Linked DNA regions of Sus scrofa. The protein of the gene in region 3 interacts with the protein of the main gene of each other region in a pairwise test. Links are inferred from orthologs where the notes say so. Each region holds a gene or a part of one and is shown on either strand. Other genes may lie near its edges.

Region 1 (5,363 bases), on a different chromosome or scaffold from region 3:
ATTATTAACGTAATCTGTTCCTTTTTAATATGGTTTAATATAATTTATAGTTCTTAGATACTATTTAATGTTTTTATTTAACTAGTCTTAACTTGATTTTTACTTATAGATGGTTACCATTTAATACGGTCATTGGATAATATTTAATGGTTTAATACTTAATATGGTTACCAGAAAGCTTTAAATTACCTATGTACCTCACATTGTGTATTTTCATTTGACAGCAGTGTTTGTAATTTAATGTGATAGTACTTAAACTTTTGTGAACTTACCTATCCTTTACTCTCAGTTGTAATCCCTGTCCAGCAGAATCACTTGCAGGCTTCCAAGAAATGGCAAGATCACCAGCTCTACCCACCCAACACCTCCTGAGGCAGAGCCTGCGTCTTAAGCAGATTCCCAGGCGATCTCTGTGCCCGTGAAGGTTTGAGAGGCTCCGATCTTGATCGCAGTAACAGGAGTCTTACTACCCTGTCCTACTTTTGCTTCTCTAATCCTGCCGGGTCAGGGATCAACCTGAGGGGCCTGGATCCTCGTAAGAGTGGGAAGTCTATTGATGGACCCTAGGAATCTGTAAAATACTGAAACTTTGTGCGTGCGTATTTTTCATGAAAGTGTCTGTTGTTTTTATTTTCATCAGTAAAGCAGTGGTTATGGAAGGATGGCCCCATCAGCAACACTGGGGAACTTGTAAGCAATGAACACGCTGGGGGTGGGACCCAGCAATGTTTTAACAAGCTCTCTTGTGAGCCTGATGAGCCGGAGGCGAAGGTGAAGAGGGTCAAGTCGCTTGCTGCCTCATGGTCTGGCCAGGAGGGTGACGCTGGCCTGAATGGAGACTGGCATCATGTGAGTTGGTTGGAGAGGTGGAATGACACAGGGTGAGATGAGGGATTCGATTCTACATGTACTGAAATGGAGGATATGGCCTGATTTTTCAAATGTTCATAGAAAATCATTCAATCTGTATGTTTGGCCTAGCATAAGGGTTAAGGAAGGGCTTTGTAGTCAAACAAACCTGAATTTTTTGAGACCTGGTAAAAGTAAATTCAACTTAAATAAATGTTTATTTTTCACACACTGATTTTATATAAATAGTCACCAGTGAGTGGCGAGCCCACAGTATATGATCACCATGTGATACAATTGTGTTTGTTTTGGTCTGGAGAATGGACTCAATCAATGTATTAAAGCCAGTTTTTTTTAAATACATTTATTAACCAATGTTAACACATTAAATGAATCTATATATTGCTAGTCAGAGCAGCTTACAAAATGCCAGAATGCATCATAGAACTGGACAGCCACAATGAATAATTACAATGTGCAGAGTGGCTAAGCTCAACACCTTGATATAGTTTTATGATTTGCAGAAAAATTTAATAATAGTTCCTAAAACAATCAATTGTAATTTTACCTAAAACTTTTACAAAACCAGGCCACAATCTTTTTTTAATTTGTTTTTTTTTTTTTTTTAACACACAGTTTTCACGCTGTAGTAACTTGGAAATGTGCAACCGTGTCAACGGAGACAAAAAGCCAAAGTAACACGAATCTTACTTTCATGCAGCTATTGGTAAATAGTACACACTCTGGAATGATTTTACACCAAAAATAGTTCCACAATAACTTGTTCTCATAGGGGTGGATCGAAGTTTTAAAACTTGAAAAACAATCAGAGAAAGTAAGTGTTCCTGGTTACAACGTCTTGATCCGACCACAGCACTGTGGCAACACCGACTAATCGCATGGCAGCAAGGAGGGACGAGAATGCCAGCTCCCTGCACAGTTCAGGGATGGTGTTTGAAAGGGGGCTACCAGGCAGGTCCTACAAGCCTTTGGGCACCACTGGGCAGCAGCTTGTCGATTAACTCGTGTCACCACCACCTGCAACAGCCTCAGAACTGGAGGACGATTTCACAGAAGACTTAGTTACATTTTCATCTTTAGAGTGACCCTGACAAACCTGGAGAAAACTTTTTAAAAGGTTTTTCCCCTGATTCTTTCACTTCCATTGTGTGTAATTGCTTTAATAAATATCAAAGGTCTAAATAAATATTTACAAATTATTTCTCTAACCTTAAAAAATAACTAAATGATAAATGGGAATTTGACTTGGTCTAAGATCAGTATTTGAAAAAACATAAATTGTGAGTTTTTTTTTAAAAAAAGTAATTTAAGTTTTCCTGGCTGTATTTTATATATCTATGTATAAAAAAAATCATTATTCAACTATCGATCCATTCCTATTGGTAATGCTTCTTAATCCAGACATTCCGCAAAATACAGACTTTTTACAAATCACGGCATTTTTAATACAAGAAAATTAACATGCATTATTCTTCATTCTGTGTACAGTGATGGAGTTCATTAGTAGGCAATGATCCATTACTACAAACATAACGGCTTCTGTGAAACTTAAGTGCTTTCTTTCCTTTCAGTATTAACTTACAATATAAGAGGTGACACCAGATAACAGGCCATCAGATGATATCTGGGGAGGGAAGGGATGCCTTAAAGAAATTTGTAGGCCTCATCTATAATTTCATGTATGGATAAAGGTAGTTTTTGGCTTTTTTATTTTATTTTTGTTGTTTATTTTGTTACAAGCACTCATGTTAGGACAAAGATGAAATGTGCAAACTTTAAAATTTAAATATTCATTTTCTCTAAGATCCAGCTCAGTAAAAGATTACCCCAGTTCCCTGCAATTTTAAACTACAAGATCAAAGCTAATAATTTGTTATAAAAGTTATATATTGAAAAGAAATAATGAAAAACACAATTGGGAAATATTTAAGAAAAAATATGCAGGACTAGCACCTGCTGTGTCAACCCTGTTCCCTAAATTCAATCATATACCCACTGGCATAACCAATAGATAATGCCTTTAAACAGTAAATTAAGCTGAACAAAACCAGCTCAACAAGGTTAAGAGATAAACGTCACATCAAGGTAGTATGTTTCAGTTCTGAAGCAGTTCTGCAGTTCTTACATTCAGATCTATTTTAAATGTTTCTTTGTTAAACTCACTTGTATTCACCTGTTGTTTTTTTAAAGATCTGTTGTTTAAAGGTTAAAATCTCTGTAAAACCTAAAAATGTTTTAAAATTTGCTGAAAATGCAACAAACTCTCAATTAAAATTTATTTAAAATAATACCCTCCACTGATGTTACTTTTACCCCCTGAAAAACTCCAGAGGAGCATTAACAAAAGATTTAAACTACTGTGCAAAATTTCTTCACGAAAAGTGTTTAAAGGCTGGTGCAAAATGGGAAGCAAATTCTAAACAATTTTGGCTTCTTGGAAACAAAAACCGCTGTGTCTGAGAAGAATAATCGTCAGTGATTCACCAGGAGGAACTAGCCTTCATCTTTTCCGGCGACAGGTGCGCTTGTGTTCTGCGTGCCAGTGCTCCTGCTGACACTTGATTGAGCAGTAGGATGTGTTCCAGCAGCAGTGGTACATGGCCTCCTCCTCACAGTTGTAGCACTACAGATGAGAAACCATGACCAGTAGGTAAACGTGGGATGAAGTGCAAAGGAAATGGTGGTTATAACTGTAGACATCTGAAATTGCTTTTAAAGATCTTTCCGGCTCAACCTTAAACTAGGATCACCAGAAACATCATAATGTTTTCTGTACCGAGCAGGATGGCAGGAGCCAACAGGAAGACTGAGGCTCAGCATGTAGTCTCGTGGCTGCAAACCCGAGCTTACCTGGCACCACATCGACCTTTTCCATTTCTACTAGGTCATCCCCATCAGCACACAAAAGGTCTTGAAATTCCGGAAAGATGACAGAACAGAAGCACCAGGAATCTACCTACCTGCCTGGACAACAGCTACGCTGAGAAATCCATCTAAAGTAACTGCTTTGGAACTCTGAAGTGTATTGAAGGTTTGAACAATATAGTTAATTTTGAGCACAGTAACACAGCTACCCTCTCCTACCCTTACCCAGGGTAGGTAAAAAGATTCTGTCCTGCTGCTTGCTGCTTCTGATCACAGAAATGGGCTGCTACCATTGCTGAACCTCCCCTCACTGTTACAAGCCCCTTCTCCTCCAGCTGAAGTAACTTCCGGAGGAGTTAAAGGGCCACTGCCCTTAGAGTCTGCCTTTGGCAAAGCCGGATATTCAAAATCAACTGCATATGTGGGGAAAAGCAGAAAGTGAATGTGCACTCCCAAGGAAAGGCTCAGAAAAGACCAATGAAGACATTTAGTTTATACTCAAGGTGATCCCTGGCACAGAAATAGCCTATAACAATCAAAGAAACAAAAACAGCAAACTCTGAAAAGGGGGAGAAAATGAGTGCCAGTTACCATATTAGATTCAAATGCTGTGTTCAACAAAAAATCATAAGGTATACAAAGAAGCAGGAAAGTATGACCAGTCAAAAGAAAAAAAATCAATAGAAACTGTCCATGAAAGAGACCTACTGGCAGATATATCAGACAAAGACTTTAAAATAATTATTAAAGAAACTCAAAGAACTAAAGGAAGGTGTAGAGGGAGTCAAGAAAACAATCTGTAAACAAAATGGAAATATTTGAAGAGATCAAAAAACCAAAAAGAAAACTTGGAGCTGAAAAGTCCATTAACTAAAGTGAAAAATTAACTGGAGGGATGCAAAGGCAGATTTGAGCAGACTGAAGACAGGACAATGGAATTACCAAGTCAGGGGGAAAGACTGAGGAAACATAAACAGAGCCTAGAAAGACCTGTGGGACACCATCCAATGACTAAGATGAGCACCATGGGAAGTCCAGAAGGAGGAGAGAGAGAAAGAGCAGAGCAGAGAGAATATTTGGGAAGTTTTCAGCCATTATTCCTGCAATGTGATGAAAGATATGAATACAAATATTCAAGAAGCTCAATGAACTCTCAGTCAGATAAACTCAAAGAAAGCCATACTAAGATGTGTTATAATCAAACTTTTGAGAATCATGAAAGCAAGGAAGAGGGGAACTGTCATATACAAAATGTCATCAATATATCATCAGCAGATTTCCCATCAGAAACTCTGGAGGCCAGAAGACCTGATTTTGTCAAAGTGCTAAAAAAATAAAGGGGAACACAAACAAACCTCTTAATGGAGAAGCCTATATTCAGCAAAATAATCCTTCAAAGGGGGAAGACATTTTTAAAATCCCAGAAAAACTAAAGCTGAGGTAGTTCAAAACCACTAGACCTGCCTGCAAGAAATGCTCAGGGAATCCTGCAGGTGAAATGGAAGGACTGAGACAGTAACCTGAAGCCCTTAATAAAAGTAAATGCATGAGCACTCATCAAAAGCCAGAATTACAGCAAAAGTGGCTTGCAACCGTACTTTTGTTTTCTACATGATTTAAGAAGAAAG
Region 2 (5,467 bases), on a different chromosome or scaffold from region 3:
GTCTTTGTAGCCACAGACATCTTGTAGGCATGGAAGACCAATGCCTTTTGGGGAGTCGGAATGAATTTTCTTTCTTTCTCATATCAGCAAGGATACTTTAGGATACACGCATGGTTTCTTTCAAACGGACACCTCATTTACCAGCTCATCTGAACTCAATGGGAGTTCTTCTCATTTCATTAGGGGGAGAACGAGTGGCTCCAAGACCACTGCATGCAAGTCGGGGATGCCTACCTGATTGTCTACTCCATCACGGACCGCGCCAGCTTCGAGAAGGCGTCTGAGCTGCGAATCCAGCTCCGCAGGGCCCGGCAGACAGAGGACATTCCTATAATCTTGGTTGGCAACAAAAGTGACCTGGTACGGTGCCGGGAAGTGTCTGTATCAGGTGAGAGGAGTGGTGCCAGTTACCACAGACACTATCTCTGGGTCTTGGGTATTTTCCTTTAAACAGTTGCTCTTCCCTTCCTCTTACACAAAGCTGGAACCAGGGACTCTTAAGATGCCACGTGGAGTTTTACGCACACTCGAAGACACCCACATTCCCAATAGATCATCTGGTCTACCTGCAGGATTTCAGTCTCTCCATCCCCAAGCTTTCCCTGGAATTCTTTTAGAGAAGAGGTCATACTCGGGTTTACTGGCAGTTCCCAGCCCTTTTTTCTCATCCTCTCTATTCTCCAGGGACATCTCTCAAGAGTCCCAGGAAGTGAAAGTAGCACCTTCATGCAAGAAGGATGGGAACTTTGATTTCAAGAAACTATTGAGATTAAGAATTCTACTCTGGCTGCCTCTGATTCCTGTAGACCCTAGAAACACCCTTCCAGCCCCTACCCTTTGCTTCCTGAATAACCTTAACCTTAACTTTCCAGTTAAGGTGCCAGTCCAATGGCATCACATATACTTTGTCGTATTTAGTTCAGGCATGATTCCTATTTGTTGAGTTGGCACCCAGTGCCTTTGGGGCCCTTAAAATCTTAATTTTTTTTTTTGTCTTTTCGTCTTTTCTGGGGCCACACTCACTGCACATGGAGGTTCCCAGGCTAGGAGTCGAATCAGAGCTGTAGCCGCCGGCCTACACCAGAGCCACAGCAACGTGAGATTGAGTAGAGTCTGGAACCTACACCACAGCTCACGGCAACGCTGTATCCTTAACCCACTGAGCGGAGCCAGGGATCAAACCCGCAACCTCGTCGTGGTTCCTAGTCAGATTCGTTAACCACTGAGCCATGACAGGAACTCCCTAGGGGCTCTTAAAATTTTATTGGCCTAATTCAAATTTGGTACAAGGGTGAAAAAACAAAATACTGCATTGCCAGGCTCCGCCCAGGAGAAAAGAATGCTGTTAAAGACTAAACAGACCCAGCCAGCTTGGGAATGTCTTACTCTTAGGAAATGACTGTCTGCAGGAGTCATTTTTTCCAAAACCAAACTTGGACACCTGGTCATTGAACACAATGGAGCATTTGAAATTGAGACTGTTTCAGAAAAGCTTTTTTTTGTATCATTCGCCATAATTACACTGTACATGTGTGAAGATCCTCAAAATTTTTCAAAATAACTCATGAAAGCTTAAATAGTTTTTTTTTTAAGTAGGATTCTTTTTGTTTCTTTATTCATTTTTTAAACTTCTATTGAAGTAGAGTTGATTTACAATACTGTGATCATTTCTGCTGTACAGCAAAGTGACTCAGTTATATGTGTACACACATCCTTATTTTCAATTCAGAAAACTGAGTCAAGAGAAAGTTCTCTTAACTTGAGAGTGAAGCGGGTCTGGACTCAGATCCTCCACTTACAGGTTATATGAACTCCCTCAAGTTTTTAAAGGACCCCCCCCCCCCATCATCTACTGGAAAGGGATAATGTGTTTTTAAAGATAGTTGGGAATGTCTAAAAAATGTTTATACAAGATCCTTCTGTATAGCACAGGGAACTATATTCAATATCCTCTGATAAACCATAATGTATATATTCTTTTTCATATTCGTTTCCATATGTATATATAGGTATGAATCACTTTGCTCTACGGCAGAAATCAACACATTGTAAATCAACTACATTTCAGTAACGCTACAAAAAAATGTTTATGAAGTATTTAACCCAGTTCCTGGCACATAGTAAGCGCAATAAATTAAGGCTATGGCTTTTAGTATTGGATGGAATTTGACAATATTTGATGTAATTGGACCTTCACACAGGGTTTGGCAGGCCAGATCTAAAGCCCATCTCTCCTGCTTCTGGCAATCTTCCTGTGAGATTCTGCTGTTTAAGCTCCAGGAGGACACGGGTCCCAGGGGCCTCCGTATCCATTGCATGTGTGATGGACTTAGCATTACCTTGAGGACCATTTAAAAAGAGGATTCATCCAGCTTGGCTGTGTGTGTGTGGGGGGGGATGCTATTCTGCAGCCCCTCTGACTTTCTCCTCCCCACCCCACCCCCAACCAGAAGGCAGAGCGTGTGCTGTGGTGTTCGACTGCAAGTTCATTGAGACCTCAGCGGCTGTCCAGCACAACGTCAAGGAGCTGTTTGAGGGCATCGTGCGGCAGGTCCGACTCCGGCGGGACAGCAAGGAGAAAAACGAGCGGCGACTGGCCTATCAGAAGAGGAGGGAGAGCATCCCCAGGAAAGCCAGACGCTTCTGGGGCAAGATCGTGGCCAAAAACAACAAGAACATGGCCTTCAAGCTCAAGTCCAAATCCTGCCATGACCTCTCTGTGCTCTAGGTACCCAGAGTCACCCAGATGTCCCCCGATGGACGTCACTGAAGGCCATTGGGACCCATAATCTATATTAGATTGGATTCTTAAGTAGTGTAAGATGTGGCTTCCCCTGTTGTAGCTGGGAACTAACATGTTCGCTGGTGGGCAACATTAATGCATGGGAAATGAAAGATCTTTGTAAAGAGTCAGTATTTATTTACATGAAAAGCCTGACCTTTGCTACATGGACACCCGAGACTCGAGAGAGCGTGGTTGGTGTTCACATGTGTTTCCTCTCTCCTTTGGTTTGTAGAGGATGAGTGCCTAGGCAAGAACTTTTTCTTATTAAGATGTTGCCCGGTGTTCTGATATGTGACTCTGAGGCCAATCAGTGGGTCATAGATATAGGAAGGCTGTCAAAGGAATTTTTCAAAGGAGGGAGAACTTCTTTCTCTGTACCTTGTATTCGTGGAGCTAGGATTGCCCGACGGGGCTCATCACAATCATGACTATGATGCTCCATGAAGCTGTGAAAAGAAATGATGGACTTGCTGGAAACTAAAGCTTAGCAAACAGTTTTTTGTTCAATGCCCACAGTGGGGGATCCAGAAATTTGTAGAATTGGGAACTGATACCTGTACCACTAATGGGTTCAAAAATTCTCTCTTTACGACTGTGTCTTATAATTTTTTATTTAGGGGAAAATTATTTTAGCCAAATTCTATTGCATCAAACCACCTTTTGTGTTTCATTATTTTTCAAATCATAAGGGCATCATAAAAATATTTTTAAAATCTGAATTATTGAGAACCTGGAGCGCACAATGCAAAGTTTTTGAATATAATCGAAGGTCTGAATTTTTATAAAACATGAGACATAATACTTCCAATACTTTGGGTTGACCCTTGTATACCACAGCTTTGCTCTATTTATTATTATTTTGCAAAATAACAACCATTTTAACATTTGATAAAGCATATTTATGAACATATTTCTTAATGAGAAAAATGCTCATTTTATTACCATTTTCTATCTTTTTCAGAATATGCAAGTTTTTATCTATATGTCTTCTAATAAAAGAAATAAAATATTTGAAAAAAAGGCATTTCTAAATGTTTTTTCCTTCCCTACAAGGTGATTATGAATATTTTGCTATAGCTTCTAGAGAAAGCACATTATAAAGAAACACACTTATTGTATTTCTTCACTTCACTGGTGGAAGCCCAGTTATTATCTGGTGGGTTTTTTTTTTTTTTTTTCGCTCTTTATGGCTGCACCCGCAGCATGTGGAGGTTCCCAGGCTAGGGGTCAAATCAGAGCTGTAGCTGCCAGCCTAAACCACAGCTGTAGCAACGCCAGATCTGAGCTGTGTCTGCCAACTTCATCACAGCTCATGGCAATGCCGGATCCTTAACCCACTGAGTGAGGCCAGGGATTGAACCCGCAACCTCATGGTTCCTGGTCAGATTCATTTCCACTGCGCCATGATGGGAATGCCAGTGATTGTCTGTTTTAAAGAGTATCCCTGACATCTCTCTTTTGGAATGCAATTCGCAATAATGCAAAGTGATTTTTGGCTGATATAATTTGGAAGTATTTGGGATCCTGTAAATGCTATGTTACAGTAAAAGTGAGTTTGACTTTCATTTTGGTCTTGCAAATACCTGGCTCAGCAGATGGGCCTTGCTTTGCTCCCCAGAGGCTCTTGGTCCTAAGTACTAGAGGAAATTATAAAGGATTAGGGGTGGGGGGAAAGGAAACAGGTGATTTTCAGCCTGAGATCTAGCCAGGCAAGGCCTTAACTGCATTCTGTCCCTGACATAATTCAGCTGGACATTAATCACGTGGCTGCCATCCAATGGTCACATGTCATCTTTCTGCTGGAGTGAGACTTCGTGGTGCTCCTCATTCACCTCTCTGACCCCCACACGCACCCTCTTTCACTCTCGCTGCTAACGGTGACAGTCATGGGACCTTGCATGGTGTCCGGAGCGTCACAGTTTTACAGGATGTCTCTGCTCAGTGTTATTGGCCCTTTCTCCTGCCTTTTCCAAGTTGAGAGCAAAGGTTCCTGTCTCTGCACTTTGCATCTTTGAATTGCTCAAGGAAACAGTACAGGGAAGTGATCAGAGTATAAAGATTCAGGTAGCCCAGGCCCAGGCTGAATCTTGGCTGAGCCATTTAACATCAGTGTGACTTTGGAGACGTTAAAGGGTAAAGCTTCTAAACCATGACTATTTTTTTTTTTTTTATCTGTAAGTGAGATTGCTAATAATACCCACCTTGTAAGATTGTGAGATGAACATCTTTCAGTCTGTCATACTGTAAAGAGCTCAGGAGATGGCACTTTTCATTGTCACACATCTTCCACTTTCCATAAATAAGTTTTCTGTGTCTGTCTCCCCCAACTGGAATGGAAAATCCTTAAAATCAGAGACCATTACTGCTTTTCTTTTTCATCTCTTTACTCTCATCAGTGACGTTCCCTGCATATGTTAAAGCTTTTTATATTCTTTCTTCTTGAATAGATACTCCCAGTGGCCCCATGAGACTGACAGTCCATTTTATAGGCAAAAAGGGCTGGGGGTGGGGGGTTAAGTGACTTGTCCCAGTTCGTTCAGATGTGCAGTGTCTGGGCTAGAACTGGTGTCCAGATAGGATTCATTTGTATCTTCTAGAATCCCAGCCCGTTTCCTATACACTCAGCTCATGGACCATCACCCCTCCCTCCTCATACACCACATACACCACACCACGTCCCCC
Region 3 (5,882 bases):
CTTTCTCTGCTGAAGGACTCCCAGGAGCCCCAGGCTACCACTTTTTCCTTTACTCATTTGCTGTTTCACTTTCTCAGTCCTTCCTTCATCTGTTCATTCATATCCACTGTGTGCAGGCACTGGGGAAATGGTGGACAAGACAGACAAGCCCCTGCTCTCATAGGACTGACATTCTAATAGGGACAAAGGCAACGAAGAAACAAACACTTAATATAATGTCCCATGGTAGTTAGTGCTATGGAGAAAAATAAAGCAGGATAAGGCACTAGTACGTGATGTGGGTGAGGAGTCAGGCTGCTGTTTTAGACAGGATGACCAAAGAAGGAGGAGGCAACATCTGAGCAGAGAACTGAGCAGAGTGAGAGAGCTTGTTGTTTATTTTATTTTAGCTAAAAAAAATTTATTTTCTTTTTCATGGGTGCAGCTGCAGCAAATGGAAATTCCTGGACCAGGGGTTGAATCAGAGCTGCAGCTGCTGCCTACACCAGAGTCCTGGCAACACCAGATGTGTGCTGCTTCTGTGACCTATGCCACAGCTTATGGCAATGCCAAATCCTTAACCCATTGAGCAAGGCCAAGGATCGAATCTGCATCCTCAGAGAGACAATGTTAGGTCCTTAACCCACTGTGCCACAACAGGAACTCTGAGAACCTATTTAGATATCTGGGAGAAAGTGTTTCAAGCGGAAGGAGCCACAAGTGCAAAGGCCCTAAAGCAGGAATGTATTTGCTGTATTTACAGTGAGGAGGGCAGAATGGCTGGAGCAGAGTGAGCCAGGAGAAGTGGGGGAGGTAGTTTATTAGTGTCTGAAAGACTTTAGTTTTATCTTAGGTGCAACTCCATCCCACTGAAATGCTAGAAGCCGAAGGTGTATGGTGTGATTTCTGCTTTAAAAATACCATTTTGAAGAAGACTGGGGACTGGGCAAGGGTAGAAAGAGGGAAATCTGTTAAGAGACTGCTGAGATGTCCAAGCACGAGACAAGTGGCAAGGACAAACACGGCAGCCAGGTGTGGAATAGAGTCAGAAGGTGGAATCTACAGAATCTGAGGTATGACACAGATGAGAAAGGAAGGAAAACTTCATGATTTTTACTGGCCTAACCAGATGAACACTGTTTTTATTTTTTTTCCTTGAAGTAAGGAAGGAGTTAGGGAGGTGGGGAAAATGAAAGTTTAAATTAGGAAGTAACTGGAATTCCTGTTGTGGCCTTGCTGTGGCTGTGGCATAGGCCGGCGGCTATAGCCTGGGAACTTCCATATGCCCCTGGGTGCAGCCCTATAATGAGAAAAGGCCAAAAAAAAAAAAAAAAAAAAAGTGAAAATTCTTACAGTTTATATTATGAGGGGAATGATGCAGAATAGGGGGAAATGTAATGATGATGGTGGAGGTAGGAGAGTAGCCACAGCCATGCCCTAGAAGGAGGTGAGGGGTGGATGCCCATCCTGATCCCTGGTCAATTTCCTCCCACTGCGCTAGCATTGGGGCTGTGGGGTCTGTGAAACCCCCACTGGAGGCGCTGCCCACTCTGGAGTGGGGTACCAGGACTATCTCGACAGTTTGGGGGTCAGCCCTAAACCTTCGGAGGGTCAGGGGGTAGGAGTGAGGGCAGGGCATAGGGTCGGGGCGGAGCCAAAGGCCTTTATACCTCTGTCTGCTGCCTTTGGTGGAGTGTTCTGCAAACTTAACTGTAAGCTCCCCCTGTGTCGACCTCAACTAACCCCACCTCCAAGGTTCACCCCCTCCCTCTTCCAGACCAAGTCTGTCCGATTTAGATATTCCTTTTGTGTGTGTGTCTTTGTGTGTCTTTTTGCCTTTTCTAGAGCCGCTCGCCGCAGGAGCGGCATTATGGAGATTCCCGGGCTAGGGGTCTAATCGGAGCCATAGCCACTGGTCAGAGTCACAGCAACGTGGGATCCAAGCCGCGTCTGCGACCTGCACCACAGCTCACGGCAACGCCGGATACTTAACCCGCTGAGCAAGGCCAGGGATCAAATTTGTTAACCACTGCGCCACGACGGGAACTCCCGATTTAGATATTCTTGAGCTATCAATGGCTGTGCCTTACGCCAAACTATGCCTATCTTCACGGTGGCCTGTGAGGCGAGTATTACTGTCCCACTTTCCCAGTAGGAAACTAGGGTTTAGAGATGACTCAGGTCCAGATCTGCCTGGTTTGCTTGGTGACTTGCTTTTCACTCGGCCAGAGGGAGGCGCAAGGGGCTGGGCGAGCCGCGGGTTGGGCTGTCCAGCAGCCCAGACCCCCCCACACCCTACCCAGGCCCCGCCCCATTAAGGGGACCAGGGAGAGCCTTGCCTTACAGCGCAAAGAGAGACCGGACTTCGTGATTGGGCGGTACGGAAGGATTCGGCGGGGCTTCCTACTGCCTGGGAGACTGCTCATGGGCTCAACTTTTGACGGAGGCGTGGCCACAGGCCACGCCCCCTCCAGCGGGCTCATAACTGATGTCTGCGGCGGGGGCGGGGCCAGAACGCGGGCGGCGGATCCCAGCGCGGCTCTCTGGAGCCCGCTGCTGAGCAGCGCCCCGGAGGGGCCGAGCAGGTACAGGCGACTGTGCGGGGCGTTTCGGGCTGGGCCAGGCGGGGGGGCAGAGGCCTGTTAGGGGCCACAGCGGGCACTAGGGGTCGTGGCCAAAGCTGCGCTTCCTCCGGCGTGCGGGAGCCGCTACCCCCGCCCCCGCCTTCCTGAGGCGAAGCCGGCTGCGGCGGGGCCGATTGGCGCCTGCGCCGCTTCCTGCCCCCGGGACTCGGCCAATGCATGGGGCCGGGGCGGGGAACCAGGGGGAAACCGAGTCACGTCAGGAGGGTAGGCCTGTGGGGGAGGCATCACCCCCACTGAACTCTAGGATGAATTCCCTTCCTGGCCACGCTTTGAAGTCCCAGTCCCCACCGACCTACGCAGGGGCCGCGCACCCGCCCAGTTCCCCCAGCGCTCAGGGGTCTCGCCCTGGGTCACGGCAGCTTCGACTAGTCCGGGAATGGCTAGTACCCGCTCCAGCCGCCTCCCCCCCTTCCCCTCCCCCTCGCGTCCCGAGCCCCCGTGTGTTCCCTCCGTTGGCTCTCCGCACAGTGTCAGCTTACACGCCTTATATAGTCCGAGCAGGCTCCAGCCGTGGCCTGCCTGCCGGGACCTGGGGGCGGGGGAAAGGAGGAACGCCGGCCCCGGACTGGCCTTGCCGTCTAGTTCCAGGCTCAAGGATGGCTTGGGGGGAAGCCAGAGCCAAATTAGCCCTGCGATCCACTCCTGGATGAAAAGAATCTCAAGGCTGGATTCGGGCTCCCCTCACCCACCCTGTCCCTTGGGGAAGGGGGGTTGCCGCTGCCTTTCCAAAGTGAAGTCTGCCAGCTAGCAGCCCAGCCAAACTTAACAAGTTACCCTCCTACCCTTGCCCTGGGTGTGCTCAGCGTCTGCTCGTGCCTTCCTGGCACTAGTCCAAGCCTGATGTCCAGAGCTAGGCCTGCCTGTGTACCCACCATGCCAGCTGCTCACCTTTTCTCTCCTCTCAGGAGCGGCACCATGGATTCCTTCAAGGTGGTGCTGGAGGGGCCAGCACCTTGGGGCTTCCGGCTGCAGGGGGGCAAGGACTTCAATGTGCCCCTCTCCATCTCCCGGGTGAGCCTAGATTGAGGGAGGGGCTCCCCCAGGGGTCTTGGGGTGCTCAGATCTCCAGTGGGTGACAGAAAGAGCCTGAACAGGAGTGAGCCACGGCCGGTAGGCCAGGAGGTGCCCAGGTCCAGATATGTGGGCACTGCCACGAAGACTACCAACCTAACTAGGGAGATACTAGGAGAGGAGCCCCCACACTTCCCTAGCACTGCACTGTACCTGATGCTGTTCCACGAAGCTCCTGTGGCCACCTCCAAGGCCCAGGGGGATGCCCATTCTGAGGTCTCCAGGAAGTGTCTAAGCTCCTTGAGAGAGCAATGCTTGGAGCTAGGCCCCAGGCAGGGCTCTCTGACTGCAGGATCTCACTTCATTCTCACTGCCACCCAGGGAATAGCAACTGTCATCCTGTTTTTCCAGATGAGCTAACTCAGGACTCGGAGAGGTGAAAGGGCTCCTTCAGCAACTCCGTGGCAAAACAGGGATTGGAATTCAGCCACAGGGATGGCCAGCAGTCTGTGTGTGTGAGGGGTGCCTCTCCCCGGCCTGTGTGAGGACCTTCCATCCCATCCACTGGTCCCATTCAGGATGGAGTGGGCTTTGACCCCAAGCAGGGGTTGGGATGGGTCTCTAGGACTCTGACTTCAGCTTCTGAGATCCTGTCCTGGTGGGGGTGGAGCTAGGGGCCGGCTCCTCCCTGTGGCAGGGGGATTGCCTTATAAGCCCAAGAATGCAGCCCCACGCAGGGATGGCCAACTGGTGGCTGGAGTCTGCAGGGCTGAAAAAGGCTGGTCTGGGCCTGGACCCCTGACCACATCAGTGGGCCCCTCAGCTCATCGCCCCCAGGCTGTGGCTCTAGCCATGGGATCGGCCGTGGGACATGTAAAACAAGCTGCCTGCCCTGAGAGAGAGTCCAGCCCTTGGGCTGGTATCTCTCACTGTGGTGGGGGGTGGAGGGTGGGTTCAGGAGGAGGTGGGGACTTCCTGCTCCCATATCCGCTTATCCAGAGAGACCCACCCAGGCTCCTGGTGGGCAGGCAGCTATTGGCAGGAAGCCCAGGGCAAGCACAGCCTAGAGGGGGCCGGAGGGTTGTCCAGCCGCAGCTGAGCTCAAGGGGGCCCCAAAGCAGAGTCTGTCGGAATTGGGCTTGGTGGCCAGAACAGCTAGGCTGTCACTGTTCTCAGGGATCCTACCCTGGGAGCTGCGCTGCCGGAAGGGTAGCTAAGGGCAGTGATCTCCCTACCACATATACCCACCCTGTACACAATTCTCGAGTCTCTCCAGCCCTGGAAACCTCCCCCTGTATACCCCTTCCCTGGGAAAGTGCTAGCCAGTGTGACTGGGTAGCTGTAGGCCTTGGCTTGGCCTCTGAGCCTCAGTTTCTTCCTTGGTGAGGATGGGCAACAAAGTAGCCTAGGGGATGGACTTTCAGATGTGGCCTGCTGGGGGCACCCTGAGCCCAGGCTCCCTTGTCAGCAGGCCTAGCATGTGGGTGGGGCCACCAGCTGAGCCCAGCCCTGGAGTTGGACCTAGGCCCTGGTGGGTGGGCGGGTGTGTAGGGTGGTCTTTTCTGAGCTGGGCCCGCCCTCTCTCCCTCTACCCTGACCCCAGCGTGGAGTGGGGAGGGAGGGGCTAGGGCTGGCTATGGGCCCGAGCCTGGGAGATGAGGTAACGTCTGGGATTTGGGGGTTGGGCTGCTCCGTGGAGCCCTCAGGCTGACTCACCCCCCACCTCCGTGCAGTGTCCAACCCCCTGGCTTTTCCCCTCCCCGGTCCCTTGGGCCTCCTTGCTTCTCTCTCCAGACACACCCGACCCCCCACCTCTCTTCTGCTTTTGTCTCTACCTCTCAGACTGCTCCCCTATCTCTCCTGTGCTTCTTGTCCTCCTCACTCCAGGGGAGGAGTAGTCCCCAGCTCCCCAGCCCCTCCCTGGGAGCCAGCTGCTTCTGCCCACCCCATACCCCCCACCTCAGGCTTAGCTCACACTTCCCAGGCCCCAATGTGGGGAGGGAGTGGCCAGACCTGGTTTCCCTTCTACTGACTCACCATGACCTTGAGTAAGTCACTTCCCCTCAAGGGTGTCACTTCCCCATGCCCATTGTAAGGGGTTGAATTGAACTGGAGGTAAGATAGGGGATCCAGACCCTAAACCCAGCCAGAGGGTCAGGGAGTCTTTCCAGCCTGAGTTGGGCTCCAGCCCTCAGCAGAGGTAGCCTGGTAGGGTCAGAGTCCTGGCGCTGCCTCTTGAGTTGCTAG

Evidence for each region.
Region 1: the proteins of PDLIM7 (region 3) and ZMYND11 interact in a two-hybrid assay, tested with the Homo sapiens proteins (2 studies listed by BioGRID). The link is inferred for Sus scrofa from reciprocal best matches to the Homo sapiens genes PDLIM7 and ZMYND11.
Region 2: the proteins of PDLIM7 (region 3) and GEM interact in binary tests that used the Homo sapiens proteins (3 or more experiments, as listed by UniProt). The two-hybrid records come from large-scale screens. The link is inferred for Sus scrofa from reciprocal best matches to the Homo sapiens genes PDLIM7 and GEM.

Annotation. Positions count from the first base shown.
Region 1 is NC_010452.4:69,158,259-69,163,621, forward strand, and holds the end of ZMYND11 (zinc finger MYND domain-containing protein 11), read right to left. Parts: intron 3,494-5,363; coding exon 3,371-3,493; 3' UTR 1,198-3,370; downstream 1-1,197. UniProt on the Homo sapiens protein: Chromatin reader that specifically recognizes and binds histone H3.3 trimethylated at 'Lys-36' (H3.3K36me3) and regulates RNA polymerase II elongation. Does not bind other histone H3 subtypes (H3.1 or H3.2).
Region 2 is NC_010446.5:42,468,133-42,473,599, forward strand, and holds the end of GEM (GTP-binding protein GEM), read left to right. Parts: intron 1-183; coding exon 184-388; intron 389-2,450; coding exon 2,451-2,728; 3' UTR 2,729-3,809; downstream 3,810-5,467. UniProt on the Homo sapiens protein: Could be a regulatory protein, possibly participating in receptor-mediated signal transduction at the plasma membrane. Has guanine nucleotide-binding activity but undetectable intrinsic GTPase activity.
Region 3 is NC_010444.4:80,450,555-80,456,436, forward strand, and holds the start of PDLIM7 (PDZ and LIM domain protein 7), read left to right. Parts: upstream 1-2,458; 5' UTR 2,459-2,564; intron 2,565-3,529; 5' UTR 3,530-3,539; coding exon 3,540-3,635; exon of another isoform or gene 3,636-5,882. UniProt on the Homo sapiens protein: May function as a scaffold on which the coordinated assembly of proteins can occur. May play a role as an adapter that, via its PDZ domain, localizes LIM-binding proteins to actin filaments of both skeletal muscle and nonmuscle tissues.